Linked DNA regions of Pelodiscus sinensis. The protein of the gene in region 1 interacts with the protein of each later gene in a pairwise test. Links are inferred from orthologs where the notes say so. Each region holds a gene or a part of one and is shown in the gene's direction. Other genes may lie near its edges. The genes, in order: TLE5, AIRIM, FRS3 and OLIG3.

The links.
Region 2: the proteins of TLE5 (region 1) and AIRIM interact in binary tests that used the Homo sapiens proteins (3 or more experiments, as listed by UniProt). The two-hybrid records come from large-scale screens. The link is inferred for Pelodiscus sinensis from reciprocal best matches to the Homo sapiens genes TLE5 and AIRIM.
Region 3: the proteins of TLE5 (region 1) and FRS3 interact in binary tests that used the Homo sapiens proteins (3 or more experiments, as listed by UniProt). The two-hybrid records come from large-scale screens. The link is inferred for Pelodiscus sinensis from reciprocal best matches to the Homo sapiens genes TLE5 and FRS3.
Region 4: the proteins of TLE5 (region 1) and OLIG3 interact in binary tests that used the Homo sapiens proteins (3 or more experiments, as listed by UniProt). The two-hybrid records come from large-scale screens. The link is inferred for Pelodiscus sinensis from reciprocal best matches to the Homo sapiens genes TLE5 and OLIG3.

What each region holds. Positions count from the first base shown.
Region 1 is NC_134729.1:15,388,279-15,396,276, forward strand, and holds the start of TLE5 (TLE family member 5), read left to right. Parts: upstream 1-4,995; 5' UTR 4,996-5,405; coding exon 5,406-5,432; intron 5,433-6,908; coding exon 6,909-7,006; intron 7,007-7,998. UniProt on the Homo sapiens protein: Transcriptional corepressor. Acts as a dominant repressor towards other family members. Inhibits NF-kappa-B-regulated gene expression. May be required for the initiation and maintenance of the differentiated state.
Region 2 is NC_134735.1:10,126,081-10,133,551, reverse strand, and holds the start of AIRIM (AFG2-interacting ribosome maturation factor), read left to right. Parts: upstream 1-4,461; 5' UTR 4,462-4,483; intron 4,484-4,491; exon of another isoform or gene 4,492-4,619; intron 4,620-4,901; exon of another isoform or gene 4,902-4,925; intron 4,926-4,954; exon of another isoform or gene 4,955-4,996; intron 4,997-5,093; exon of another isoform or gene 5,094-5,226; intron 5,227-6,098; 5' UTR 6,099-6,150; coding exon 6,151-6,422; intron 6,423-7,471. Other genes in the region: CDCA8 (borealin), read right to left, coding at 248-288, 1,132-1,260, 3,518-3,614. UniProt on the Homo sapiens protein: Part of the 55LCC heterohexameric ATPase complex which is chromatin-associated and promotes replisome proteostasis to maintain replication fork progression and genome stability.
Region 3 is NC_134737.1:9,657,824-9,665,677, forward strand, and holds the start of FRS3 (fibroblast growth factor receptor substrate 3), read left to right. Parts: upstream 1-4,838; 5' UTR 4,839-5,060; intron 5,061-6,806; exon of another isoform or gene 6,807-7,521; intron 7,522-7,854. UniProt on the Homo sapiens protein: Adapter protein that links FGF and NGF receptors to downstream signaling pathways. Involved in the activation of MAP kinases. Down-regulates ERK2 signaling by interfering with the phosphorylation and nuclear translocation of ERK2.
Region 4 is NC_134713.1:98,096,116-98,103,114, reverse strand, and holds the start of OLIG3 (oligodendrocyte transcription factor 3), read left to right. Parts: upstream 1-3,998; 5' UTR 3,999-5,257; coding exon 5,258-6,079; 3' UTR 6,080-6,999. UniProt on the Homo sapiens protein: May determine the distinct specification program of class A neurons in the dorsal part of the spinal cord and suppress specification of class B neurons.

The sequences.
Region 1 (7,998 bases):
AAGTATAGGGCCAGTGCCACAGAGAAGGCTAGTTTTAACTTTCTGTCACAGAGGGCAGTATTTTACACTCACACATGCACACACAAATATATTCCAAGTTGGTACCACTAGAGCTGTGTGAAACTCGGCCATTTCTATTCATGATTTTAGATTCATAGGGCCTGCTTCTCATTTATACTAAGGTCCCTCCTTACATTACTAGAGCAGACAATTACATTTTCACTCACTTTACATGTCAAGGGGCATTAATGTAAATGAAAATCACATAAGCCTCACGCAGCAATTCCTGCATCTAGCCCAGTCACTTGTGGTTGAACTAGAGTGTTCCTTTTAGGAGACCTCCAGCTTTGTATGACCCAAAGCATTGTGTGGTGCATCGTGTTATTCTAGCAGTGAAGGACGTATGGATTATTTGAAATTGCAAGGACTTCTTAAAATTATGTTATTTGCTGATTGCATTGATTTTCCTGCTGACCCATTGGTCTCTACATGATGATGGTTTGACCTGTGATCCTTAAACTGATGCAGCAAAGAAAATTGCCAAAATGAGCCACTAGTGAACTGTAAGTCAGTTTGGTATCTGTGTATCTGGAATTCCACGGTGTGTGAACAGTGTGTCTTGGGGCCCAGAACACAGCCTGAAACTCAGCAGACTGGACCTCTATTTCTGGTTCTGATGCTGGGTGATCCTGGGCAAGTCAGTGTAACGTGCTATGCCTCAGTTTCCCATCTGTAAAAAAAGGGTTAGTGATAGACATTTCTCTTGTCAAGCACTTTGCGAGCTACTTGTGTAAAGTGCTATATAAGAGCTAGGCTTATTGTTGTCTGATGGAAGACAGGATACTGGGCTAGACGGACCTTTGGTCTGTCCCCGTATGGCCATTCTTATGATGCGATGTGCAACAGCTCAGTTAAAAAAAAATAACGGAGTGGTGACACAGGGCTTCTGCAGCTGTTCTCGTGGGGTAGCTCTCAAGTTTGATGTCCTTATTCAAATCTATGCAATCCTTAACTTGCTTGGTTTGACTGTGGTGACCATGCGAGTACCCTAAGCAGTTGGAATGTGTGTTCACTCAGTCGCATCGAATTTTACTGCCTGGCCAAGTTCAGCTCTTACTTTATTGCTCAATGCTAGCTGCACTTTACAGAGAACATGACCCAAAAAAGAGCTCTATGGGAGCTCAGAAGCAGGTCTCTCTCACCTACAGAAGATGGTCCAATATATCAAGGGCATTCACAATTACAGATTGATGGTAGGGAGAGATTGCCTGATTGCCTCCACTTCCATGCCTATTTGCGCTGCTGCCATAGCACCCCTATTGTGAGATGACTGGGAACCAAATTCATGGGCTGGCAGCCCTAATCTCATCAATTCCTGTTTCAATCCCAAGACCATTTGATATGCCATGAAGGGACTCCCATCCCTGTGTTTGAAAAGGGGTGCCCTCCCCCCTTCCACCGTATTGCCACTGTATTACCTCGAACATGTATTTTGCTGTATGATGCATCAATAGAGCCCTACGCAGCTACAAAATTTGTATCTGCAAAAATGAGCCACAGATATCTGCATCCACATCTACAGATGCGGATACCTATGGATATAAAGTGGATATCTGCAGATTTGCAGGGCTCTTCGCTTCTAAGCCTCTCAAATACCTTTCGAGACACTCCCAGACCATTTCCTGCATTTTGATCAGGTTTTGCACCTATTTAAATAGATATGCATTTGCAAACTGCTCTTCAGTGCAAACCCATTGGGTCCTTCTTGTTCCAGTGTTTCAAACTCTATGGAGTGAAATCTGTCCTTATGCTGAGACACTGGGATACCGTAGATAGGTGGGCTCATTATGTGTTTACTATATGAAGCAAGCTTAGATATTTAACACTGGGTCGTCACTAGTATTTTTGTATTTGCCTACTGTGATTATGTGGCACTCAATTTCCCTCTCTGTGCTGGAATTCACTTTTTGTTCATTTATTTCCAGCATCATAAACCAAACTATTATATCAACTTGCTCTGTAAGGGATCTATCAAAGATCATCGTGAGAGCTGTCCGTCCATGAATGTATTTTGCTTTTATACAGCGTTTCAGATTGTGCTGAAAGCAATGCCCTGTGCAAAATGGTTGCCTTTATTGTGTGTATGACACCGCATCCCTTGGGCTGCACACCTTTCTGTCATCTCGTGATTGCTTCCGCATTCACTGCATCTGCTGTTTACTTGCCTTTGTGTTCTGTCTTTATGCATTTTTAATTAGTTGCACTTCAGTTCTTTCACTGCTTTTTAACACTTTGAGAAGCAGTTTTCACCAGCCTTGAAAATATCCAGTCCTTTGCAAAGTCAAATCCATTTCTCATAAACACCTTGCTTTGACCTATTTATCAGTTATGCCACAAGTAATTCTGTCTCTAATTAGTATATAGCTATTAACTGTTCAAATTTGCATGGCCTAGCTTTAATACACAGGTTTGTAACATAAGGATCAACGGTCTCATCTGGCACTAGAGAAAAATATGCTTTTCCCAACTGACTTTCTTGCATGGATCACTGTGCTCCAAGAATTTTTGAATGAAATGTTAAATGGTTTCAAAAAAGAACAAGATAAATTCATGGAGTATAGGTCCATAAATGCTTATTAGCCAGGACGGGCAGGAATGGTGTCCCTAGCCTCTGTTTGTCAGAAGCTGGGAATGGGTGACATTGGGGGGGGGGGGGGGGGGCTCACTTGATGATTCCCTGTTCATTCCCTTTGGGGCAACTGGCACTGTTGGAAGACAGGACCTTGGGCTAGATGGATCCTTGGTCTGACCCAGTCTGGCCGTTCTTGTGTTCTTATGCTGCATGTTGCAATTTGCAGCCCTCTTCATGCTCCCTACCATAGCTCACCAATATTTTAGGCTTGTCCCTCCCAGGTAAAAGTGAAGGGAACTTCACCCTCACAGATTTCTCTGCCATGTCACTTGCTTTCAGGAGAATTTGGAAGTGCTGCAGAGACCATGCAATAAAGACGTGACAGGCGGGAGTTATGGGGCAGGGTTGCAAAAGGGTATATACCCTTCACCTGACTGCAGTGACTCCAGTGACTACTGTTACAGCCCATTGGGATTCCAGGTCTGAAAATTCCTAGCCATGTTGGGTTTCAGCTCTGGAGTTACTCACAGCCAAGACATAAAGCAAGGCCCCTGAACACAACATGTTACAATAGTTCAGCTGATACAGCTCTTTCATCTCTATCAGTGGGTGCATACCTCATGCTAACACCAATTTAGGGAGTACCACACTGCTAGAGGGGGCAGGCATCTGGTCATGGGCACGATGTTAAACCATGGCCCCTGCTGTTTGCATATAGGTGGAAAATAGACTTCCTTTATCACTCCATAAGAGATTGGAATAGCCAAGAGAATCAGAGTAATGTCCAAGGCTTGCTCACTGCATAGCTGGGGGTTAAGTGACTATGTTCAGTCTGAAGGCTACAAGGAAACCATTAGGGTTTTTGGGGCTCTGGCCTAACTTTTCCAGCTCCCAAATTGCACTGCAGGAAAGGACATTTTAAAGGGGAGATGCATTCAGCACAACACAGGAGGAGGGATCCTGTGTGAGAAGAAAACAGAGAGTAATGGTAGAATGATTATGTTTGTAGGGCCTACAGCAGTGGTTTTTAGCCAGGGGTATATGTACCTGTGCGGGTACACAGAGATCATCTGGGGGGTACATCAATTCATCCAGATATTTGCTTACAGGCTACATAAAAGCACTAGTGAAGTCAATATAAAATAAAAATATCATACAATTACTTATTTATTCTGCTCCATGTACTACATACACTGAAATATAAGTACAATATTTATATGCCAGTTGATTTATTTTATATGGTAAAAAGGAGGAAGTCAGCAATTTTTCAGTAATAGTGTGGCTGTGACGCTTTTTAAATATTTTAATGTCTGATTTTGTAAGCAAGTCGTTTTTAAATTAGGCGAAACTTGGGGGAGGGGGACATGAGAGAAATCAGAGTCCTGAAATGAGTAGCCATGTTTCAGAGGGGTAGCTGTGTCAGTCTGTTTCAGCAAAAACAAGGTGGAGTCCTGTGGCACCTTAAAGACTAACAGACTTATTTGGTTATAAGCAGGGCTCGACAAACCGCGGCAAGATCTACTCGCCAGCCCCACACCGCGCATGCGCCAGACCAGCACTGTGCATGCACACAGCACCGGTGAACGGGGCAACTGGCTGAAATCTACTCGCCACAGGCAAGTAGATATGGCGATTGGTCGAGCCCTGGTCATAAGCTTTCATGGGCTGGACCCCCACTTTGTCAGATGCATGATTCATGTTATATCCCCTTCACCTGGCAGGTGTAGTAGCCACTCACTCCAGCGGCTACTATTACAGCCCACTGGAAGTTCCACGTCTGAAAAATTCAGGCTGATTTATGCATCTGACGAACGGGGCAGCGTAGCGTGCGAAGGTTGAGAGCCACCGGCTTAGAGCAGTGTTCCCTCTAATCTTTTCAATCCAGATGCAGAATAAATTTTTTATGTACACTGAGTCATGTGTGAAAGTGCACTGCCAGGAGAAAAAAAACTCTCTGTGGGTGCTCTGCCAACCAGTGGGGTGGCATTGGAGTCTCAACTGTGTGGCTGCACAAGCCTTAGCTCATAGGGAACTTGGGCCTAGACACACAAACCCTACTGTGCCTAGACCCCTATGAAGAGGATCCCTGCAGCCTTTCTGGGACTGAGTCCTGCCCACAGAGGGGCTGGAGCAGTTTTTGTACTGGGCGGGGGGCGGGGGGGGCGCCATTGACCCAAATAGCACAGAATGGAAACCCTTTCAAGCCAGGGCCGCTGCAGCATCTTTGGAAGGGGGAGGCCCGGGTGACGCGTTAGCTGTTCAGCCGGAGCGGGAGTAGCAGGAAGCACGTCCAGGGAGGGAATGCGCTGGAGGGAGGGTGTTGCTAGCTGCACCCGCCTGGGGAGGGGAGGCGTTCCCTGGCCCGGGAGAGGCGCTAAGGTCCCTGCCGGAGAGGGGAGCTGCAAGGGGGCGGGCGCTGGGGGGAGCTGCAGCCAGGCGGGGGAGCGCAGCTCGGCTTTGCTGCAGAGCCGGCTCCGGGGGAGCGGCGCGGAGCGGGGCTGCTGCAGAGCGGAGCGGAGCGGAGCGGGGCGCACGGCCGGGCTGCTGCGGGGCGGAGCGGGGCGCGCGGGGCAGCCGCAGCCGCAGCAGCAGGTGGTGCTGATCAGCCGCAGGACGGAGCCGCAGCCGCCATTAGACAAAAGGCGAGGCGGCCGGAGCCGAGCGGAGCCGCAGCCCGGCGCGGGGACGCGGCCTAGGCTCGGGCGCTGCGCAGGGACAAAGGCGGAGCAGCGGGGCCCGGCCCAGGCAGCAGCCGGAGCAGCCCGAGCCTGACATGATGTTTCCGCAAAGCCGGCACTCGGTGAGCCGCGGGCCCGGCCCGGGGGCTGCACCGGGGCGCGCGTGGGGGGTGCGCGTGGGGGGGGGGCGCTTAGTGCGTGGGGGAAGCACGGAGCGGGGGGGCTCTGCACCCCACGGGGGGGTCGGCGCACAGGTGGGGGCTGCTCAGCGCGCTCTGGGGCAAGCGCCGGGGGCTCCTGCGGGTAAGGGGATGCGTGGGCGGGCCCGAGGCAAGGGGGGTGCGGGGGGAGTTCAAGGTTGGGCTGGAGGTGTCGGGCTCGGCGGGGCGCTGCGGGGGTGGCTCGGGGCGCCTTGGTCCAGGAAGTGCAGCGGGGCGAAGCGGCCACTGCTCTTGTGCTGGGAAGACCCTGGCAGCTGGGCCAGCCAATGCACAAGGGGCGTCTCTGCCTCGCGTGGGGTCTGGGGCGAGCTGGAAGGGACACGGGGGTGCTGGGTGGAAACCGCTTTGGGCCCTGGGGGGCCAAGTTGGTGTTTTATGAGGGTGAGGGGCGGGGTGCAGGTGCTGTCTGGGAGAGGGTGGTATGTGGGGGGCAGGAGACGGGGGAGGGGTGAGGGCACTTTTACCTGAGTAGCTCTTTTCCTTTTCTTGAAGCTGGCTGCTCTGCTTCTTCCAGTTTCTGTGAGGGGTCGGTGCACTGATGGGAATATTTATCTCCCCCCCCCCCCCCCCCCCGAGCTTACTGCCATCGGGGCTTTGAGCCCCTGATTATCCTGATGGGAAAAGAATAAATGTTTATTGTTCCTCCACTTTTTAATACCCGAGTCTAGATAGAGCCGTAGAGGAGGAGGATTGCCTTGAAACAAACAAACAAACAAACCCTAGGCTGGCAGATTGGGGTGGGTTTAAATATCCCCTGGCCCCTATCAACTCTCTCTCTAATTCTGGGGTGTTGCCTGGTGGCAGAGGTGCTGTCCTTCCTGTTGCTAAAGGAGGCAGGAGGCATTGTGAGCTCAGATCAGCTGAGTGAAAGCTTGGCTCACTGGTTGGGATGCCAGCCTGGGACTGGCGACTGCTGGATTCCATTCCTAGAGCCAGTGGCTTAGTCTGTCCGTGCCTCAGTTTCCTGTCTGTAGAATTGAGGTAATAGCCCTGCCCTCCCTCACAGGGGTGCTGTGAGGCGAAACGCATTAAAGGAGGCCTTTAGAAACTGGGACCTCTCCACCTTCCTGATTGCCGTAGCTAGCAGAGCAGCAGCAGGGCTGCATGACCGTGGGCCCCTTTTGGGGCCTGTGTTCCCCATCTGAGGGGGCGGAGGCGGGGAGAAATAGTTCTCCTGGAGGTGGGGCTTTAATTCCAGGTCCTTGGTGCAAGAGTGCTAGGGAAGGAGGCTGATGCTGCAGTCATTGCTTGGGGGTTGGGGGTGCTGCCCAGTGCTGACCCTCATCTGTGGGGACAGCTGTGCTGGAGGGGGAAGGCTTGTCTGGGCATCGCTTTCCCTCCTGCCATATTGCCCGGCGCTCTCTTCTGTGTCCAAAGGGTTCGTCTCATCTGCCGCAGCAGCTGAAGTTCACGACCTCTGATTCCTGTGACCGGATTAAAGATGAATTCCAGCTCCTGCAAGCTCAGTACCACAGGTGAGCCTAGTGCACTGCGGTGCAACTAGCCGCAGCCTGCGGCTCTCCATGTCTACGGCCCACGGGGAGCTGGCGGGGATGCTATTCAGGGCCCATGCCAAAGTGAGTGTTGTCTTGGTGACGTCCCTCCTCCCAGCCTGCCGTAAGGGATGCTCTTCTCATCGGCTGCGTGCTGTCACTGCGATGCTCTCAGTAGCTAGCCAGAGATGGTGGCAGTAAACGATGCTTTCACAGGTGGGTCCCAGGGGCCTGTCACTTGCTCGCTTCTGCCATGAAGTTTTCAGGATTTTTTTGTTAAGGGCTCCTGGGGAGGGGACGGGATATTCAGAGGTTGACTTGCTAGATAGAGACATGGTGATAGACAGGAAGGAGGACCGGCGCAGTTTCTTGCAGCCTTATGTACTGCTGCAGTTGTCAGAGGATGACTCGTGTAGGAAACCGAACTGACCCTCACAGCTGATCCCCCAAGGAAACAGACCCGAGCAATGTGCTTTGGAGGAAGATTCCTTCACAGCAGCCAGATTTGAAATGCGATGGAGAGCATGATTGCCTTGGCTAAAATGGCACCTAGTTGTGGGGGGAGGGGTGGGGGATGAGTCCTGCTGTGTTATAACCCTGACGATCATGAAAGCTGAAGGCTTTAAATTCCCCCCCTGAGCAGCAGTACTCCTGGTTTACCCTTTGCTCAGCTAGGACAATGAGGACTAGCCGATTGCACTGTGGCTGGGAGTTTGTAGTCTGTGCTGTGTTCTGTCTTGCCCACGTGAACCCATTGCAAACACTGCTGGGAAATGCTGAAATCTCAATGTGCATGTTTTCCAATAAACCTTTCTAGTGATCTTAAGATTTGGCTTTTATTGGAACAGAGCTTAAATCAACCTGAGGGTATCCTCTTTAATTATCTAATACACCATTGAGATCTCTTCATTTTGTGTCCTTATGCATATGACTTTGTGGCTGCTCGCTTGTTCTGCTCTGACTTTCCCATGTGC
Region 2 (7,471 bases), on another chromosome or scaffold:
GCGGCTCTGCATTTGAAATGTAGTAAGAGCACGCCCAGCTCTTACTGTCTTTAGATCACAAAGCCACAATGGGGGTAGCTCCTGTATCAGCATGAGCCAGGACAGACAACTTTCCCTTTTTGACTAATTGTGTAGTCAAATTACCTCTTTCTTGACATCCCTAGCTCCTAAATACATTATACAATAGCACTAAAAAAGAAATTCCTATTATTTGGCTTAGTTGCTACACTGGATATACGTTACCTACCGTTGCTGCTTCTTCTAGGGCCTTTTTACTTCCTCCTTTAGCTGGAGACGGAATTTTTTAAATTAATGAATAACCAGAGTAATTTATGCAATATTAAAAATTTATACTTGCATAGAATTAAACAACCAAACAATGAGCATTTCTTGACAGTTAATGACTAGCTTAAGCTAAAGAAACTAGTATGAAAGCAAGAGTTATCTTAAACCACAAATCTGTGGTTGTTTATGAATCCATATGGACAGGGTATTCAATTTGCCTCTTCTTATTTCCAAAGATTTTTAAGCACATGATTGTACACCTAGTTAATCCAGTGTCACACTTTACATTGGCTCATGTACCAGTGACTTTAAGATATACAAAGGAAAAACTTGTGAAGTCTTATTTTGATTTAGCACTTTCATACAAATAAATGTATCTAATATACTGACTTTAAATGCAATGTATTATAAAAGAAATAACATAATTATAGATAACAATGACAATATCAATAGTAATTATGTTTACGTATTCATTGTATGCAGGCCTGCTACAGGGTGGGGATGGGAAGAAGGGAGCAGTTGCCCCGGGAGCCAGCAATTCAAAAGGGACTGGGGCTCTAGGCCACCGCTGTCATAGCAGTGGCCAGAGTCCTGGGCCCTTTTAATCGCTGCTGGAGCACCATCTAGCACTCTCCAGGTGACTCTGAGGGCTGGCTGCCCCAGCTCTGCCCTTCTGGGAGCATGGAAGCAGTCTCTTCCCACCTTGCCCAGGAGGCTGGCAATTCTCTCGGCCCAAATAATCGGGAGGGAGGGAAACAAAGTCCACTAACTGAATAAATTTAACTCATAACTCAGTTACAGCTCAAAATTATGTTGTCAACACATATGGGAATGGATGGACCATACCAAAGTAGTCAAGCCAGTTCATCTCTCTCAGTGCTAGAGGAAGTCTGAGGTTTTCTATGTTATAAAGATTATCCAACTCCTTGAGAAGACTTCGCCCATTTGTTTGTATCTGATCAATTCTAGTTTGGACTAAACGAAAAAAAGAAAATGGTACGATTAACAAATATATAGAACAAAAATATTATTTAGGATTTACACATCAAGGCTTGAATTTATGTTTCTCTGAACATCAGCAAAAATCTATTCCCTTATGAACACGCTTTTCTGATCAAATCTATTTCATTCATCCCAAGTGAGTTAATTAAAATGCATAAAAGTATGTCTACAGTGCTTCTGCACAGACAGTCCTAATACCAATAGTAGGGAATAGTAGGGTTTTACCTTACCCATCAATGAAGGCAATCCGCTTCGAGAGGCACTAGCTAGGTTGATGGAAAAATTCCATAAAGGTAGAACAGATTGTTACCTACCACCTGTATTGCAACTAGGAATGTGAAAGGTTAATCAGTAAGCATCACCTTTAACAGATATTGCTTACCAGTTCTGGTTAACAGGTGCAGGGCTAGAGCAGTTACCCACCAAGCATGGACAGGGGAGCTGTTATAGCCCCGCAAGGGCCTGCCACGGACACGGGCACTCCGGAGCAGTCACTGTCCACAGCGGGCCCAGGCACGCTGCAGGAAGAGAGCCACTCCAGCTCAGCCCCCACTCCCCGGCTCCCATTTAATTGATTAACCAATTAAACAGGATTTTACATCCCTAACTACAACCCATAAAGGATATCATTAAACAATTACAACCCATACTTGATGGGGATATCCTGAAAGATTTCTTTTCTGAACCCTCTTCTGGCCTTTATACAATCCCCCAATCCCATCATCAGAAATAAGGCCTCCACAGACCAAGACATTAACTCAAAGCAGCACCAGACACGGCCACAACAAAGAAAAACCTGTAAGCATATTTCCAGTGCTGCAATGACACACCCCTCAAAATCCATGGCTTGTAAGCATGTCTATCACATTATGGGTGTGTCTAGACTACATGCCTCCTTCGAGGGAGGCATGTAGATTAGCCAGATCGGAAGAGGGAAATGAAGCCGCAATTAAAATAATCGCGGCTTCATTTAAATTTAAATGGCTGCCCCGATCTGCCGATCAGCTGTTTGTCGGCAGATCGGGGCAGTCTGGACGCGATGCGCCGACAAAGAAGCCTTTCTTCATCGGCACAGGTAAGCCGAGGCTTACCTGTGCCGATGAAGAAAGGCTTCTTTGTCGGCGCATCGCGTCCAGACTGCCCCGATCTGCCGACAAACAGCTGATCGGCAGATCGGGGCAGCCATTTAAATTTAAATGAAGCCGCGATTATTTTAATCGCGGCTTCATTTCCCTCTTCCGATCTGGCTAATCTACATGCCTCCCTCGAAGGAGGCATGTAGTCTAGACACACCCTATGTGATGTATCTCGCCCAATGGTAGTAAATGTGTCACAGTAACATTGAAACAGTGAAACCAGACAAACACTATGTACTTAAAATGAACTCACACCAAAACATAATAAGAGTCAAAAATACTGTTTTCCCTCCGGGCACACACTTTTCGCAGAGGAATCAGCCTATGTCTGACCTCTCTTACCTCATCCTCAAAGGTAACCTGTACAACACCTACAAAAGAAGAGCCTGGGAACTTAAATTCATAAGTTTGCTAGATACTAAAAATCATGAACTAAATAGACACACATTGGATTTACGGCTTATTACAATAATCTATAACTCACTGGAGAGGTATTAATGGCCACTTCACATTGAATGGTCCCTTGAAATGTGTGTTAATCACTTATGCTAAACAATTTGTTTCACCTAGTATTTAGCTGTGACATTGTGAGTACATTTCCCCTAACTTGAAGAACAACTTTACATAAACTTGTTTCTCACCCACAAGAATTGGCTCAATATGAGATATCTTACGTATCTTGTCTCTCTATACATCTTATTGACAACCACCCAATGGTTAATATTTGTCAGCTGCCACTGACCTCTGAAAAGTAGTTCCTATTTTAGTTTAATTCCTGATAGCCCTACAGCAACAATGCAGCACACTCTTTACAACAAGTCTCCCCCGACCACAGACGCTCAAGAAAGGGCAAGGTTTGCATGAGCATCTAGAATTAAACCATTCTTAAACTCCTCAAAGTCATCCTTCTGGATCAAAGCTCTGGCTTTTTTGCTGTATCTGTCCTGCCTGTACAACACTTCAGTTTTCTGAGGTGTTAGTCTCCAGGGTTGTCAAGACAATAACTTTCACATGCATTAAATTAACCTGGAAAACAACTCAGGGCCCTAAAGTCTTTGTAGAGAACAAGTTTTATGAATGAGTGGAATGGTTACCTTCACAGTCAAAGTCCTTTAAAAATGCAGCCAGCTTTTTCTTTTTCACATTGTTTTTGCTGGTACCATTGTTTGTTTTCTTCTTGGATGGTGCCATGGTGTCAGATAGATCTGTGTAGCAGAACGGAAACAGCCATTTGCATTCATACAAGGAGGAGACACTTGCCAGTTAGAGACAAGAGGACTCTAGTCTTTTGGGAGCTACTGCTGCTCTATCCTCATTGAAAAATCAGGGCTCCTAGGCCAACAGCAAGCTACAACGTAGAGCGACGCATTGGTGCCCCAGACAGATGAGTGGTTCCCCAATACCAGGCAGTAGCTCCACCAGAGGTGGCATGGGGCTGAAAGCTCGGCATGGGCTTGTCTGAACAACATAGGGCTCATAGACTTTAAGGTCAGAAGGGACCATTATGATCATCTAGTCTGACCCTCTGCACAGTGCAGGCCACAGAATCTCACCCACCCCTCTTAGAATAATCCTCTCACCTATATCTCAGATATTGAAGCCTTCAAATACTTGAAGGCCCCAAGATGCAGAGAATCCTCCAGCTGTGATCTGTACCCCATGCTACAGAGGAAGGCGAAAAACCTCCAGGGCCTCTGCCAATCTACCCTGGAGGAAAATTCCTTCCCGACCCCGGTTGGAGCCTCTGGGCAGAAGAAGTTAAACAGACCCACAATGCTTTTGTCCTGGAATGAGGATGCGTCAGGAACAGCCATGCCCGGCCCCAATCCGCATCACCTCTGTCTTGTAGACAAAGCCGGCTGGGAACCCCTTGCCCTGCCCCAATTTCTTACAGCGATGGCTCCTGCTCAGTAACAGACTTGCAAGTTGCCGGCCTGGCCAAAAAAAAAACCTTCGAAAACAGACTTCGGGGGAAACTATGGAGCGGGACCTTCAGATGCAAAATGGACACGATCCGACGGAGTCCCAGCAGCCCCTGGGAATGGCTGGTTCCCACCCAGGTACGTACCCCTGCCAAACGGACGCTCCCCCTGCGCGCACCCGAGGAAGCGGGCGCCCAAATAAAACCGTTGAAGGAGCCACAGGGCTCTGGGGCGCTGCAGCCTGGGAGCGAGACCCCCCCAGACGCTGACACCGGGAGGTGATTGAACTGGGGCGGGCAGGCTGGGAAGCCCTGGGGTAGGGCCATTGCTGGGGAGGAGGGAGGAACACGTGACAGAAGGGGGGGGTCTGGAGGTGTCCCCCCCCTCCCGCGCGTGCTTCCCCAACGCAGCTCGGTCTCGCCCCTCCCCCCCGCAAAGTGGACCCCGACGCCCCGCGATTCCTTCACCGCAGAGCGGGACCCCCCTCCTCAGAATTACCCCCCCATCGGGGTCCCCTCACCTCACCATCCCCCCCCCACACCAGAGGGGGACTCACCTCGCCCCGCCCCCACCCAGCCGCGCCCCACGGCGCCCCGCAGCCCCACTGACCAACTCGCTCCCAACGCGCGCGAGCCGCCGCAGCTACATTCAAACCCGGCCGCCCAATCAGGCGCGCGGGGCGGCGCGCGCGGCGCACGCGCACAGGCAACGGCCGCCCGCGGGAGGCGGGAGGGCGAACGCGCCCTACCTCTCCCAGCAGCGGAGCCGACGGGGAGACTTCCGCTTCGCCAACTGGCTGCGTCATTTCCGGCCCGTAGGGCGGAACTACACTTCCCAGCAGGCGCCGGGGGCAGGGACGTCGCTGTGGTTGCGGGGCTCAGGTAAGGGTGGGCCCTGGGGTCAGGTTGCCGCTCTCCCGGCTCCCCCCATGGAGACCCTCCGCCCCTCCCCCCGGGGCCTTGCTCCCCCTCCCCCTTTGTCCCCTCATGCAGATTCCCTGCTCCCCCCCCCCAGCCATGCTCCTCCCCCCACATGGAGACCCCCTGGGGCCCTGCTCCCCGCCCCCGTTGGCTCCCATGTAGAGACACCCCCCCCCCACTCGGGCGGGGCTCTACCCTCAAATGTGTCCACCCCATAAATAGAAGCCCCCCCCCCCCCCCCAGTTTCCTGTTTCTAAAGCAAACTCTCGTCTAGGAGCTGCCTGGTCCCCTGAGGCCTGCGCTTCTCAGTCAGTGGCGCTGGTGGGTGGGCAGGCGGGTGAGCATGGACAGAGGGGCAGGAGAACCTCTATACCTGTGTGACGTAGTGGGGGTACCTGGCTGGTTTCTATGCTGCTGGCTCTGGGGTAACCCCCACTGGCTGCCATGGGTACACGACCCAGCGAAACAGGATGAGTCACTATGCAAACCAGTGGCCAGACACCCCCCATGGAGAGGAACAAAGGAAGGGGGAGGCTGCCCTGGCTGGGGAGCAGGGCTGGAGGAGAGTGAGTTGGTGGCTGTCTGGGAGCATGGAGGAGACAGCCTAGGGAAAGGGGCTGGAGTTTAGGGGCCCAGTCTCCCCCCATCTCAAGGGGGCCTGAGGCATCCTAGCCCAGCTCTGGGACCAGATTACATCTGTGCTGTGCTGTATCCTGAAGAGGCAATAAACTTCCTCTATTTCACCGGCTGGTGCAGTATGTTTGTGCCATTTCGGGGTGCAGGAGACGGGGGACCCCCAACGCGCCGTCACAACCTGTGTGTGCTTATTGCAGGTGTCTGGGCGGTGCCTATCCTGGGCTATACTCTGGGTCTGCCTATAAGAGGATGTCCGAGAGCCCAGCCGTTCTGGTCCTCCGTCAGTCCCTGCAGAAGTGCTTCCACACCGTACAGCAGCAGCAAGAGGTTTGGCAGCAGGCGCTGACGGATTGCAAGCCTCTTCTGAGCTCCCTCAGCAATCTGGCTGAGCAGATGCAGGCCTGCCAAAAGGTCACATTTGCTCATACACCACTGCGGAGTTTCCCAGATCTGGAAGAGCAGCTGAAGTACAAACAGCGCTGTGCAGCTGAGAGCCTGCTGGAAGAACTGGGAGGCAAAGTGTAAGAGGCTGTTGTGTCAAGACCTTTAAAGTTGTGAGCATCATGAAAGCCCAGACAGATATGCTGGGAGAGCTGGAATGTCTCTGTCTGGCCTATTTGCAGAGTTCACATCTGAAGGAGAGCGGATAAGTCAAGTCAAAGGGATAAGTGTCACGCTTCTTTCTGGAAATGCTGCAGCTATTATCCTAACACACATAATAATAACACATGAAAATTATTCTCTGTCTTTCAGTTTGTTTACTTCATCTTTATGTGGTGGGCCAGAGTCTCAGCTGGTGTCAATCCATGTAGCACCTTTGAGTCCTGCTGGAGCTTTGCTGATTTACAATAGCTATGAATCTGGCCGAGTGTTAATATTCATTTTTACGCCTTGTCCTCATTTTGTGTCAGTCTTTCTTACAGAATCTGGGAAGTATGTGCATTTGTGTGGGACAAACATTTAAAAAAAATAGGTAACTGTAAAACCACAAGAATAACTGCAGGTCTCAGCCATGTGTAATACCTAATAATTTAAAGGAGTTAAAAGTATTCATTAGATTTCAAATTACAATGTCTCTAAGTTATGTAATTGGTTCATACTTTCAATAACATGCTCTTTATCCATGGTTTTCAAACTACGGGTCACACCCCAGTATTGGGTCATGGAGTGTCAGGCACTGGGTCTCATTCCTGCAGAGTGACCAGTGAGGGTTCGAAGGCAGCTATCTGCCTGTCCTGGCACCGCAAACTGCTCTGTGCACCAGCAGCAGCCAGTAATAGGCTCGGCTCCTAGTGGGAGAGGGCTCTGTGCACTTCCCCAGCCCCGAGCACTCGCTACGCACTCATTGGCTGGGATACAGCATGGTCTGGTGTTGGGAGCAGCAGGAAGCCTGCCTTAGAACTCCTGTAGCACCACTGATGGGGAGACACTCAAAGTAAGCCCCTTCTGCTCCAGCCTTGACCCCCCCCAAGCCAGAGCCCCCTTTTACACCCCAAAACTCTTATCTTCAGCCCCACCCCAGAACCCACACTATAGTCAAATTATGTTAGGGCATGGGCATCAACAATTT
Region 3 (7,854 bases), on another chromosome or scaffold:
CACAGGGGGAACCCCCCTCCCTGATTCTCTTTCTCTCCCCTCTGCCAGTGCCTCCACCTGGCCCAGGCAGGGAGGGTAAAGACAGCCTCCACTGACAGCCCCTCCTGTTCCTTGCCCTCTGCTATTCCTGCAGCCCCCAGAGCAGGGTGCAGCAGTAGAACTCTCAGACTTTCCATGCCATGCAGGGTTTCCAGTTTGGTTCAGTGGCTCTCAGCACCCCCACGATAACAGCGCGCCACCCCCCACAGCGTGGCTCTGCTGGGCCCCGCAGCAACACAATCAATCACCTACCTTCTTTCCGAGGCCCCCTCCTTCCCGCGCCACAGCACAGATCGGCTTCGCCCACACGTCGCGAGGTTCGTATTTCTTCCTGCCCCTTTCCGGCTGCACCCCAGCTAGGGTGACCAGATAGCAAGTGTGAAAAATCAGGACACAATTTTTAACCAAGGGCGGAAGGGGGGTGGGGGGAGTACAGTTGCTTGTAGAAGACAAAGCCCCTAATATTGGGATAGCCCCATAATATTGGGCTGGCTGGTCACCCTGGTCTCCACCTGCTTCCAAGGGCCTCAGGCAGGAGAGTGGCTGAGCCGTGGAAAGTTTTGCAGCAAAGCGAAAGGAAAACATCCAGGCTAAACCAGGGAGATTTTTTTTCTTCTTTTTAAAAATCTGCCTGCCCAGGAAACTGGATCTGTGTCAGATGGGATCCTAATTACAGGGCTTTTTAGCTTAAACCTACAGAGGCAGCCAATGGCAGCAGGCAGGGAGGGAAATCAGGCGAAAGGAGGCTGTTGTTAACCCTGCAGGGGAAAGAACTGGGCGATGTTTTGCTGCTCGCTACCTCTCTACCTCCCTCCCATCTGTTGTCTCATTCCCTCTGCTTCACTGGTTTGTTGCTGTTACCCTCGGTGATGATTATTATGCTACACAGCTCACACATTCTTTTGAGGCTTCAGGAAAGAAGGTAAAGATAATTATCCCCCTTTAAGAGATGGGGAAACTGAGGCACAGGGAAGCGACTCCTTCCTTAAAACTCACTTCAGCCATGATGCCTAAAATAATGGTTAGGCAGCTGGAGAGCTCTGACTGCTATTAATGACATTCATTATAATTGTCTGACTGATACCTCGGGTTCCCCTCTGTTTGCTGTGTCACCTCTTGTCTCGGCTTATGCTTACAATGTAAGCTCTTGGCAGCATAGCTTGTGTTATTGGTTTGTACAGCATCTAGCCAAACGGCTGGGGCCTCGATGAACTATGGCAACACAAATAAGTGAAATGCTGAGGACTGTGAAGTGACTTGCCCAGGGTCACACAGCCAGTCAGTAGCAGAGGTGGGAGGATGCTCCACCCTCCAGCATGCCCTCTATGTATCACCACCCCTGTTCAATAGCATTTCACTGGCCACCTGTCAAACACAACAACCAGGGAGCTCTGCCCTTCAAATACTACTACCCCGCTCAGTTCACCCAGCCTGGCTTTCTAACAGGAGTTCCAGTCCAGGCACATGCAGCTCAACCTGTGCTAAAGGGAAGCTCTAAGGAAACTGTTCTACCACCTTGTACCCAGTGAAAGTTAATCGACTGTGTTTGGGTTTGGGGTCAGTGTTATCTTGCCTGCTTGCTGTTGTGGACTTTGTCCCATTGCGCTGCTTGAGTTCTTTCTCTGTGTGCACCGTTTGTAATATCCCTGCCTCCTCTGTGTCCTTGTCCATTCACTCGCTGCCATTTGTGTCTATTTACACAGAAAGGGAAACATTTCAATCACACTTAAGCTCCCATCTACAAGACCAGACATTATAACACAATGGTAACTCAGAAGGTGCTGCCTTGCTCAGGGGTGGGCAAGAATTTTTGATGTGGGTGGGGACTCTTTTTGTAAGTGTTCAAGGGCCACACTTCGTCATGGAGGGGGTGCACAGTCTGGGATGGAGGTTGGGTGCAGAAGGGAGCCTGGGGTGGAGGAGAGAGTGTGGGGTCTGAGAGGGCATTTGGGTGAAGGAGGGGTTGTGATCTGGGGCAGGAGCTTGGGGTGCAGAGTCCAGAAGGGATGTAGGAGAGCGTGCAGGGTCTGGGAGGGAGTTGTGGTCTGAGGGAGGATGAGTGCAGAGGGTTTGGATGGTAACCTGGGGCAGGTGATTGGGGGTCAGGGTCAGGGATGGAGTATAGGTGCAGGAGAGGATTCTGGCTTTGGGGAGGTGTATAAGTGGGGGTTCAGGGTCTGGGAGGGTGATGACCTGGGGCAGGAGGGGTGGTAGTGTGAGGCAGGGAGTTTAGGGGAGAGAGAGGCTGGGGTGCCAGAGACAGGCTCTGGCCTGGAAGTGCTTACCTAGGTGGCGCCCAGTCAGCAGCCCTGCAGGAATCAGTGCACTGCCAGCCCGGGAAAACCCCCCTCCACCCCAGGACCTGCCTCTTCCCACCCCTGCTCAGCCCCCTTCCCACCCTTGCTCCTGCCTGTCACAGTCTCAGGCTGCTCAAAATGGCTGGCTGCTCTCTGTGGCTCTCTGTTCTGAGTGCTGGGGGGAAAGGGGAGGGGGAGGTTTCACATGCTGCCCCTGCCTCTCAGCAAAATATCTCAGCTCCTATTGGCCAGAACCAGGAGCAATGTAAAGTGTAGTAAAGGTGGTTAGGAGCCCCAGATCCTTTAAGATCACCAGGTCCCAGGGCAGTTACCCCCTTAGCTCCCACTTCTTGGCAGGCCCCCCAGACACATGCTCCACCCCTCAGCCCAGGGAAGGGCCAGGAAAATGTCTTGCCGGCCACATATGGAATCTGGATGGGTCACGTGTGCCCTGTGGGCTACAGGTTGCCCACCACTGAAGTAATGCCTTCCTACTTTCCCTCTCACAAGGGAGCCCTCTACCATTCTTGTAGTATGTCCTGAGCCATATTTAGCTGGGTTGCACATTTATTATGCCCTATTCATATAGTGCATATGCCTCCAGACAACTCCATCGGCCGGGGAGAATTTCACAGGGGGATCAGAAGTATTCCAGCTACAGGCAATTTCCATCACTGTTGTTGCCAGCAGAAGTCTCAGATTAATTCCTCTCACGGGTATGGACAAGGATATTTTCTCGGAGTCATGTTCAAAACCCATTTGAAACAATCTCTCTGGGTATGTCTAGGCTGCACCATTAGTTTGGAATAACTGACATTATTCTGAAATAATATAGTACACGTCTACACTTCAAGTCTTTTTTTTCCAAAATAATGTTGAGCTGGAGGACTTCTTACTCCGGTAACCCTCATTTCACGAGGAGTAAGGGAAATGGAAGGAAGAGTGTTCTTCCTTTGACTTCCTGCTGTGCAGACAGCGTCAAAAACTGAGTTAAGCTATTTCGACTTCGGCTGTGCAATTGATGTAGCTGACGTTGAATAGCTTAATTTGACTTTAGCCCTGCTGTGTAGATGTGCCCTCAGAGGTCAGAGTTAAATTCTTCCCTATCACACCTGTGGACTTCAGAAGAGAATTTAACACTGATGTTATAGGTTGGCTAGAACAACCATAACCTATTCCTGTTCATAAATCAGGGAACTCATGTTAAACCCATCTTTAAATAGTTGTCACTAGCAATATTAATTATGAAAGTTATTTATATCCCATGCATTCAGACTATATATAATGCTAATTCTATTCAGGGCAGTTATGCGGATATTGTGAGCAGGTACTACTGTAGTTGAATCAGAGAATGCTGCAGTTGGCAGATACAAGGCTGGGCAGAAGACACAGTGCCCCGAGGTGGGTGTCCCTGTCTCATAGTCTCTGAAGAGTGTGGTGGAAGATGCCTGGGTAACAGACTAGGAGTGAGCACTTTGTTGCTAAAGGGAGCCCTCCTACTGAATTAGGATTTAATATATGATCTCACCTTACATTTCTACAGCATCTTTCATTACACAGAAGCACCAAGTACTTTACAAATCACAGAATTCAGGGATCACTCTACACCCATGGATAGATAGCCACTTCTGACAGCTGTTTAATAACAGACCCAGCAGTTTAGTACAGGGAGTGAAAAATATTGTAAAACACAATGAATACTATCTAATTAGTTTAAGCATTGCCCATGGTATGTTGGGGATAAGCGATGATTAGTATGGATTTATTTTATGGTAATATCACATTACTAGCAGCCACTGGAGTGTGCATGTATTTGAAAGTATCCACAGGATGTATGGAGAGGAAAAACAGGGACACACCTTTTAACTGCATCTCTCTCCTTGGGGACCAAGGGAGATTTTTGACTGGCAATAGCAATATTGTACTAGAGAAAAGGGATGGTCTGTCTGAGAGGGCATAGGTGGTGTGGGGACTACTGGTTGTTTTGTGTATGTGGCGTGGGAGCACCCATGGGGTTTTGTCTGTTGGGGGAGCCTGTGTGTGACCATATGCACAGTGTTGTGGCAGGAGCTGGGTAGAGGGAGGTGGGCTGTGTGCGGAGGGTGGAGTGTGTACACTGCTCTGCACTTTCCCCTAGTTTCTGTCTCTCTTCACGTGCAAAAATGTTTAGCTCAGGGTCAGCTCCCCCAGCATCCCCCCAAATGCCCCATCTCCTCATTCCCCCCCCCTCCTGTGCCTGCTCCCCCTCCCCCAGAGCCCCCTCCTCTCCCTCCCTACCCCCAGAGCCAGCTGCCCCAGCCCCTCCCTGCCAGATCCCCCCTCCCCCACTACCAGCTTCCCCTCCCTCCGCCCCCTCAGCCAGCGGCCCCGCCCCCCAGTCCCAAAGCTCCTCCCCCCTCACAGCCCGATGTCCCCGCCCCGCGGCTAAGCGCCTCCCCCGCTCACTCCAAGGTCCCGCCCCCCGCCGCAGGCCCCGAGCAGCGCGGCCCCAGCGCCCCCTAGCGCCCGCCCGGGTCCTCCCAGCGAACGACGCTCTAGCCTGCGGCTGCCGGACTCGCTGCTCCCGCTGCCGGCGGCTGCGGGCCCGGCCCCGGCCCGACCTGGGGTGGGGGGAGGGAGGCGGCGCTGGCGGGTCCCGGAGCCCGAGCGGGGGCCCCACGGCGCCGGCCGGCGGGGGGGCCCGGCCCTCAGCGCCCGCGCGGCAGAGGCCGGGCAGCGCCGCAGGTACAGAGACCCCGGCCCCCTCCCCCTCCCCCCACGGCCCCGCCCCCTCGGGCCCCCCCTCACTCCCCCCGCCCCGCCCCCGGCACCCCTCACAGGTGTCCCCTCCCGCCTGCTGCTCCCCGGCACTCACCCCCCCGGGCTGCGTCCGCCGCCCCCCCCGCGCCTCCTGCACCGCCCCCCCCGCGCCTCCTGCACCGCCCCCCCGCACCGACCCCCCCCGCACCGACCCCCCCCGCGCCTCCTGCACCGCCCCCCCCCGCACCGACCCCCCCCCGCGCCTCCTGCACCGACCCCCCCCCGCGCCTCCTGCACCGACCCCCCGCACCGACCCCCCCGCGCCTCCTGCACCGACCCCCCCCGCACCGACCCCCCCGCGCCTCCTGCACCGACCCCCCCCGCACCGACCCCCCCGCGCCTCCTGCACCGCCCCCCCGCACCGACCCCCCCCGCGCCTCCTGCACCGACCCCCCCCCGCGCTTCCTGCACCGACCCCCCGCACCGACCCCCCCCGCGCTTCCTGCACCGACCCCCCGCACCGACCCCCCCCGCGCCTCCTGCACCGACCCCCCCCCCGCACCGACCCCCCCCGCGCATCCTGCACCGCCCCCCTGCACCGACCCCCCGCGCCTCCTGCCCCGCCCCCCCGCACCGACCCCCCCCCGCACCTCCTGCACCGACCCCCCCCCGCACCTCCTGCACCGACCCCCCCCCGCACCGACCCCCCCCCGCGCCTCCTGCACCGACCCCCCGCACCGACCCCCCCCCCGCGCCTCCTGCACCGACCCCCCCCGCGCTTCCTGCACCGACCCCCCGCACCGACCCCCCCCGCGCCTCCTGCACCGACCCCCCCCGCGCCTCCTGCACCGACCCCCCCCCGCGCCTTCTGCACCGACCCCCTCCCCGCACCGACCCCCCCCCGCGCCTCCTGCACCGACCCCCCGCACCGAACCCCCCCGCGCCTCCTGTACCGACTCCCCCCGCACCGCCCCCCCGCTCTCCTGCACCGCCCCCCCCCCGCTCTCCTCCTGCGTCTCCTGCACTGACCCCCGCTTCCCTCCTCCGCCGGCCCCCCCTGTTCCCCCCCCCGCTCTCCTCCTGCACCCACCCTCCCCGCTCTCCTCCTGCACCCACCCTCCCCGCTCTCCTCCTGCACCGACTCCCCCCCCCGCTCTCCTCCTGCACCGACCCCCCCCCCGCTCTCCTCCTGCGTCTCCTGCACTGACCCTCGCTTCCCTCCTCCGCCGGCCCCCCCGCTTTCCCTCCGCTTCCCCCCTGTACCGACCCCCGCTTCCTCCCTCCTGCACCAACCCCCCTACTGCCCTCTCCCCGCCTCCTCCCACGCTTTCTGCACTGACCCTCTGCTCCCCCAGACTCCCTGCACTAACTCCCTCACGCTAACCCCTCTCCTATGTCTCTGCCTGACTCCCTGTTCCCCCTGCACTGCCCTCTGCCCCCAGCACTGACCTCCTGCTCCCCCTGTGCTTTTTGCACCAACCCCCTGCTCACCTCCCGTCCCCTGGATCTCTTGCACCAACCCCCTGCTCCTCTCTCCCATGCACCTCCTGCGCTGACCCCCTCCTCTCCTCTCCTCTCCCACTGACCCCCTCCTGCTATCCCCCCCCCACAACCCTCTGCACCTCCTGCACTGACCCCCCCCCCCTTCCCATCCTCTGCCTGACCCCCTCCTGCACTCACTCCACCCCATTATCTTCTCGATTCCTCCACATCTCATGCCCGGATACCCCCCCACTAGGAATGTTAATGGTTAACCAGTGGGGACTGGAGCCGCCTCCTGCCCACTGTGTAATTAGTTAACTGGTTAAACTTAACATTTAACTGGCTAACTAATTAAATGGGATTTTACATCCCTACCCGGTAACTCCAGCACTGACCCCTGCTTTCCCTTGCCCCCCTGCACCTCCTACGCTGACCTCCGTTATCTCCTCCCTCTGACCTTCCCTGTGCCTCCTGCACTGATCCCCCAGTGGATTTACTGTCCATTTTTCATCTTCTATTGTGTATTATTCCTTCCATTCCTACCCTACCACACCAAGAGACCTGACATTCCCTCATTAACGATTCCCTTCTCGCCCATATGCCAATCACTGCAGTTTGTGTTGTCGCTCATGTAATGGTACCCCCTTTTCATGCCTTCTGCCACCTCTTTTCCTGTTTATTTCCACTCAGTTGGCCAGACACCAGGGCCTTAGGGCATCCATATCCTGCTTCCTGAGCCAGGTTCAGAGCACTGGCATAGGATAAACCTTGCCTTTTCCCTACCTTTTCACCACACTAAGCTTCTAAATTTTTTGTCTAGTTGCTTATGTGATCCAGCATGAATTTGAGGGGGTCGCTGACTGCCCTGTGCTGAGTGACACAGGTTTGTCCTGGGTTATGCCGTGTGGCACTTGGTGGCGTCTTGTGCCAAATGGCGCTTTTTGCATCAAATTGTCATCCTGAGGTGTGTGCTGTTCTCTCTTCATTGCTCAAATCTCTCGCTTTCTGAATCATGTAATGAACAGTGTTTGCCTTGATGCTTTGCACATGAAATTTGAGCAGAACACGGGAATATGCGAGGAGGTATGTGCAGAATAGTGCATTAAACAGAGTATTAGATGGAGGACATGAGTCTTAGGAGATGGGCATAGGGAAACAGAAACATCTGTTGCTGGCTCTGGAGAGACAGGGAATGTTGGACAGAAATGTGAAATATTCAGGGAGTGGAAAAAAATTGTAAAATACTGATTAATTCAAGTTTTGGGGGGGGTTCAGTGGAGGAGCATGAAGACTCACT
Region 4 (6,999 bases), on another chromosome or scaffold:
CGCTGTGTAGTCATGCCAAATTTCAAAATAGCCTATTTCAAAATTCAATCAAAATAAGATATGCAATTTGCATAGCACAAATTGCATATCTTATTTTGAGTTTTTGATTCTGTGTAGATGCATTCTGGGAGTTTTGCTATTTACTGAAAGGGGAGCAAGAGCACACTTTTAAAATCTTTAATAGTCTTGTCTAAAATTGATTTTGCTTTTGGTCCTACTTCACTTTCTAAAGTAAACAAAACAAAAAGCAAGTGTAGCAGATAATGGAGAGTAATCAGTATCATAGTACAAAGAAGTATGAGCTACTGCTTTATTATTCACACACACATGAGAAACACAGACTAGAGAGAAGTACATATTGTAAGGAACACTCCTGCTCTAACAAGGAATAGAGCTGGTAACCAGGTATTTGTTTGTGCGATATTTCTGTTGCAGTAAATATAGTAATAAATCACTTATGGCCCATTTTAAACTACAAGGAGTTTGGGGGAACAGCCTGTTGCATTACTAAGCCGAACAAGAGTTGCTGGTGACTGTGACAACCATGTTGATAATAATTAATACATACTCCATCTCTCTAAATTGTAGAGTGTCGTGCAAAGCTATTCTCTCAAAGCCTTCCCCCTCCCCTTTTGCTTATTTATATTCCCACATGGCCCAGAGGAAGGACTAGATCAAATGGAGGGTCCTTTCTGGCGTAGGGTTGGGTTTATGTATAAGAATTCCAGGGCAGTGAAATTTTCTATCAAATCCTACACCAACTACTGATACACATCGCTTGTCTGATATTGCTGAAATATGTGGAGTAGATTTTGCGTTCTTTCGGCCCTACCAAAAATGTGCAATGCTAAACAAGGAGAAAGGGGGCAGAGCCTTGCCCCAGCCAAAGTCGCAGCAAATGCAAAATAACACTTGTCCCGCCTCAAGCGGAGTATTTTCATTGTATTGGAGGGAGAGGGGACGACAGAATGCGCTCGGATGCCCCGAAAATCTCTCTGCGGGTTTTTTTTTTTTTTTTTTTTTGCAAACTATGCCTTTGTGTGTGCATGTGTACCTTGGATTGCCAATTAACTGAACAAAAACAACCAGAGGCGCTTTGCTCTCCAGCCAGCAAGGCAAAACTCTGTCGCAGGCGGGCGTGGTGGCTAAAACCTGCCAAGGCGATGGAACGGTACAGGGTGGCTGATGGCTGTAGCGCTGGAAAAGTCGGTCCGAAGGCCCTTTCTGCAGTCAGATCGCTTCATCTCTAGCCCGTGACGCCTGGTCCTTCCCCTTCCCTCGCTGGGGCTCGAATTCTCGTCTTTGCCAGTCAACTTGCCTAGCTCAGGCAAAACCTTCCCTTGGCCGCTGTAGAGAAGAAGCATGTACATGTGTGTTTGTGGATCTTCCGGGTAAACGCTGGAGGTTCGGGCTCACAGTATAATGTCCTGACAGCAAGATTGTCCCCACTGACACCCAGTCATTGATGGTGGCTGGGATTCCCCCATCCCACCCGGGAACACAGCTCCTCACCCCATGGCCTGTTCCCACATTACACCCGGCTGTAACAATTCCCAGCGAAGATCCTGCTGTCCCACCCCTCTGGTTTCTATGTCTGGCAGGGACAGAGAGAGAGAGAGAGACAGAGAGACAGAGAGAGAGAGCGCACATGCCAGTTTCCCCCTGCAATTCATTCTGCGCCTCCCCCCATCTCTGCTCGAATATAACCCCAACTCCAAAAAGCACGTGCGGAGCGCTCCTGCCCTTGGCAATGGGAGACGCTGCGGTTTGCAGCAGAACACCAGGACCGCAAAGGAATGAGCAGGACAGGGTGGGGGCGAGGCAGCCGGGAGTTCACTTCTCTCTAATAACCCCCCTTCCTCCGGAGCTGGCTGACAAGGCCTCCCTCTCGCCCTCCACACTCTTCCCTCGGAAGAGAGAAGGCAGCCACCCGGGGATCGCTTCTCCCGGGCAGTAGATGTTTTGGTAGAAAGCCGGGAACTGGCGCTAATCCCTCTTGCTAAGAGAAAAAAAAATGTAAGTCTGAGGACAGGGATCTCCATGATCCCCAAAGCCTGGGGACCAAGAAGAAGCCTGTGCCATGCAGCCGGCCCCTGATCCGATGGAAGTTGTCTTAAGGGCGGTTCTGAGGACGAAGAACTCTTAACCGAGACAGAACAGAATCCCTTTGGTTGCAGCTATCGCATTTATTACTATGAATCGCTTGACGGGTTTTACTTGATTCTTTTCTCCCGTGCTTACACTTTTGTCTTATTAATGTGAATAGCTAAGCAATTAATGCCCCCCCTTTAAAACTTCTAAAGTGTTTCAAATAGATACAATGGGGAGGGGGGAATCAGTGGGCAAGGCTGGAATTTGCAGGTCCTGCCAGCAGTTTTTCCAAGCACATAAAAAGTAGAAAGGGGCAGAAAGAGACACGTTGGGTGTCTTTTCATGAGTAAAGATAGCTCCAGAAGTGTACCCTGCCTGGTCCTGCTTAGATTTGTGCTCTTGGCTGGGAAGAGGGATGGCGATCACTAGGTGCATTATTCACTTATGTTCCTGCATTTGACGAAGGGATTTTGACCAAAAAAAGCTGATGCCCTATTAAATGTGTTAGTCTGTAAGGTGACCCAGGACTCCTGGCTGCTTTTAGAGATACAGACTAACACGGCAACCCCTACAGACTATCAGTTATGCGGTTCCTGATGTCGTGAAATGGGAGTGAATCTCTGTATAGGCGCCAGATTACACGGAAATGTGGACAAGTTAGTCAAACAGTTTTTCTTTCTCCTTATACCTGGAGTGGTTCAGCTACGAGAAAAGCCGCGTCTCCCATGCTCTCAGCGGAGGCTTGGCAAACCGAAACTGAATGCAATCATTTTTCTGTCTTACGTGCTTCTGAACAAGGGGTTAATGCACCTTATTTCTCAGTCAAGTTATTGGTCCAACTTTCCCCCCAGTGAGAGAAGCGCCTTTTTCTTTTCTTTTCTTTTCTTTTCTTTTCTTTTCTTTTCTTTTCTTTTCTTTTCTTTTCTTTATCACTCTATCTGCTCCAGTTCCCACGGCGGGATTTACAGACAGCAATGACAAACGTCTTAAATGTGTTTCTCAGCAGATTAAGTACAGTTAGAATCAATAGGAGGAAAACATCTATCGCTTTCAGACGCTTCTCCTTGTGGGTCTGAAATATCCTTGGAGTAACAATAACTTGGACCCTGCCTGCTAGCAGTTGCTTTTAGTCTGTCCAGTGCAGTTGGTCTTTTAAAACCCATACTCAGACGGAAAACTCCTGTCAAGGTTTCATTCTCCAATCAGGAAAGCTGTTAAAGGGGGAGTCAGGCTTCAACCCAAGCCAGTCTGCACGTGCTAACGGTTCCACTGCCGTGTCTACACAAGAGTGCTTGAAGAAGTTTGTTGGAAGGTGTCAGCTAACACTTGCTAACCAAACACTGCAATCAAGACAAACCGTCGCTGTCACTCTTCTCAATTCACTCCCTATGTTTGTCCTTTTCACACACTCATGCATTCAGCATGTGCAGGGCACACACCAATCAGTCCCTGGCAATTCCAGGGGCTGAGCCGTCTCTATGTACACCGGATCTCTACAAAACTACTCCAAATTACACTCTTCCTCATAAGCACACCTGGCTTTGGCAGGCTTCTCCGCCCCCCTCACACACACCCTCAAACTCCTCTCTCCCCAGTCCCGCAATGGCGCATCCCAATGCGCAGTATCTCTGCCCGGATCCTACAGAAAGCACTCACATATGCCCACAAACAAATCCTGCACATCGGTACCCAGACTGCCGCATATCTGGAACAGTCTTGCATGGCGCTTTGCAGAAGCTCCGCCACAATACACACAGACACTCAGGGCAACATAACGGAAACACTTCCAGCTATAGACACACAAACTGTCATCCTTCAGTATCCCAACACACAGTCTCTCTCTCTCTCTCTCTCTCTCTCTCTCTCTCACACACACACACACACACACACACACACACACACTCATACTCACACACACACTCACACACACTCTCTCTCACACACACATACACCAGACTCCTATGTCTGTTACCAGGTATATATCAAAATAAAACTACTTCAAGGAGCCAGTTACTTACTCTAACAAATCTTCATCGCGTAACATATTATTGCTTGCAAGAGTCTCTCCCCCTTGTGACTTGATGTTAGTTTCCTTTTGCCTGCATGTGTCCAGTCTTTTATGCAGCTTCTTAGTCCAATTCACAAACGACTTCCTTTCCCCACCTCCTCCCATTCAGTGTATCTATAGGGAATAAATATATCGTGGTCTCTCTTCTAATTTTGAAACAATTTGGATTATCTTTAAAAATAAAACTGTCAACACAGATTCATGGTTTATATTCATTCAAAGTGCAAAAAAAGTCAAATGGTTGCAGCCAGAGAGATGAATTTCCAAATATTTTAATAGAAATGATAAGCGAGAAAACCATAAAGATCGGTGGCAAATGAAAACGAAGGGGAACTAAAATATGTATAGAAAAGGATTAAGAAAGTGAGACAATTATTTTCTTTCGGGATTGGAACCAGCCAAATACATACACACAGGCACACACCCCAAAGCAACCAATCTTCCTCTGCTTCCTCAGACAAATAGAATTTGCTACGATGTTACTAACACTGAGATGCTAGACTGAAAAATGACCCCAAGCAAAAATACACACCCAAATCAGCCCCTTTGCTCTTTACTGTACACTAGAGGCAGTTTTATATTGGAAATTAGAAACAGGGGGAGGAGAGGGCGTGAACATTCAGGGATGAGTGCGTGTTGTCAATCAGAGAGGTTTTGTGTCTCCTTGACTCCTGATGGTCCATGGCTGAGGTGTCCCAGGGTGGCACCACAATGAATATGAATGGGAGTCCTTGCTAAATGGGACAGTCAAAGCGCACCGCCCTGAATAATTGCACGTCATCCTAACAAGACCATTATAGATAGGAGGGCTCCTTTTGTCTCTTTTCTCTGCTGCAGCGCTATAAAAGCCCCTCTTTTCCAGGCTGAGGTTAGTTCAAGCATACACCAACCAGCTATCCCGTATGCAGGCTGGGTATCCAGCGGAAGAGATTAGAGGGAGAAAGAAGAATTTTCCTCCTGTTTGAACTCCCTCCCCCCTCACAGAGCCTGCAGGGTTTTGTTTTATTTTGTTTTGTTTTGCTTTTTTAAAATAACAATCACCCAACGTCACCCTCTTTAGAGCAGGGAAGAAATTTCTTGCTCGGAAGTCCAAATACAATGAATTCTGACTCCAGCTCTGTCTCCAGCAGAGCGTCCTCGCCAGACATGGATGAGATGTACCTGAGAGACCACCATCACCACCATCACCACCACCACCATCAGGACAACCGGCTCAATTCGGTCTCCTCCACGCAGGGCGACCTGGTGCAGAAGATGTCCGGGGAAGGCCTGTCCAGAAACGGCTCCAAGGCCGGAGGGGAAGGCAGCAAGTACAAAATCAAAAAGCAGCTCTCGGAGCAGGACCTGCAGCAGCTGAGGCTGAAGATCAACGGGCGGGAGCGCAAAAGGATGCACGATTTGAACCTGGCCATGGATGGGCTGCGGGAGGTGATGCCCTACGCACATGGACCTTCGGTGAGGAAACTCTCCAAAATTGCCACCCTCCTGCTGGCCAGAAACTACATCCTGATGCTCACTAGCTCCCTGGAGGAGATGAAGAGGCTGGTGGGTGAAATCTATGGGGGGCACCACTCCGCTTTTCACTGCGGCACAGTGGGACACGCAAGCGGGCACCCGGCCCACCCAGCTAGCACGGTCCACCAGGTTCACCCCATCCTTGGCAGTGCCTTGTCTTCGGCCAACACCTCCTCCCCGCTCTCCGCCTCCCTACCAGGGATTGGCACCATCAGGCCCCCTCACTCTTTACTCAAGACTCCCTCTACCCCCCCGGCCCTCCAGCTTGGCAGTGGCTTCCAGCACTGGGCCGGTTTGCCTTGCCCGTGCACGATCTGTCAAATGCCACCCCCGCCACACCTGTCTGCCCTCACCACAGCCAACATGAGCAGGCTCGCTGCAGAATCCAAGGACTTGCTGAAGTGACGCTGAGCGCCCCTCGCTCGCTGTCTCAGAGACACACCTCCACCCAAGTTCTGCTAGGTGCTGCCGCAGGAAGACTCAAGCCAAGAAGTCCAGTGTTCGCATGCATGCTTCTTTTCCTCCCATGGACGCCGGCCGGTGTGTTCTCCCTCACTGACATCCGAGCTTGTCCAAACTGCATTTGTTGTAACAAGGGATTAGTGTAGTAAGGACCTTCCAAAGGTAACGTTTTAGTTGGATGCTCGGGCCATGTTGTCTTCTTATGCTAAAACAAAAATCCCTGTTGTAAAAAAACGAATAAAAATGTAAATAATTCCTTTAAATGGATGCAAAAAAAAGACATGCTGGTCATTGTACTGTTCGCAGCTGCAAAGAGACGATGAGTTATTGGGGGGGAGGGTTGTTTGTTTGTTATTTGTTTGTTTTTAAAGACAAACGCCGCCATTTCTGGGAATTTTCTCTGCTCCACTCCAGGGTATGACAGCTAGGAATGATGATTCTTTTTTTTACCCAATATAGCCCAAAAGAATGCATGCTTGCTTATAATTGAATCTCGTTTAAACATGTTGTTCTGGCAATGGTGCAGTTTTCCTTGTAACAAGGATATTCCCTAAAGCATTTCCTGGGTTCCTCCCTACACCCTCACCCCGTCCGTGGCTGTATAAAACGAGAAATAGCGCAAAACACGCACAATGTTTCGCCAGGTTTTTATCTCCTGCTCTAAGTGCAGTGTAGTAGTTCAGCTGGCTGGGTTCCACATTGCCCTCAATACCCCTTGCTCAGTGATCTGCATGCAGGGTCGACTCTGGCCAGATTGGTCATTGTGTTACTCCATTGGAACTTTACTGTCGTTTTATGTTTGATTTTGTTATGTTTTCCTGGGCATTTGCTTGAAATATTTTGTTACGGCCTCAAAGACAACA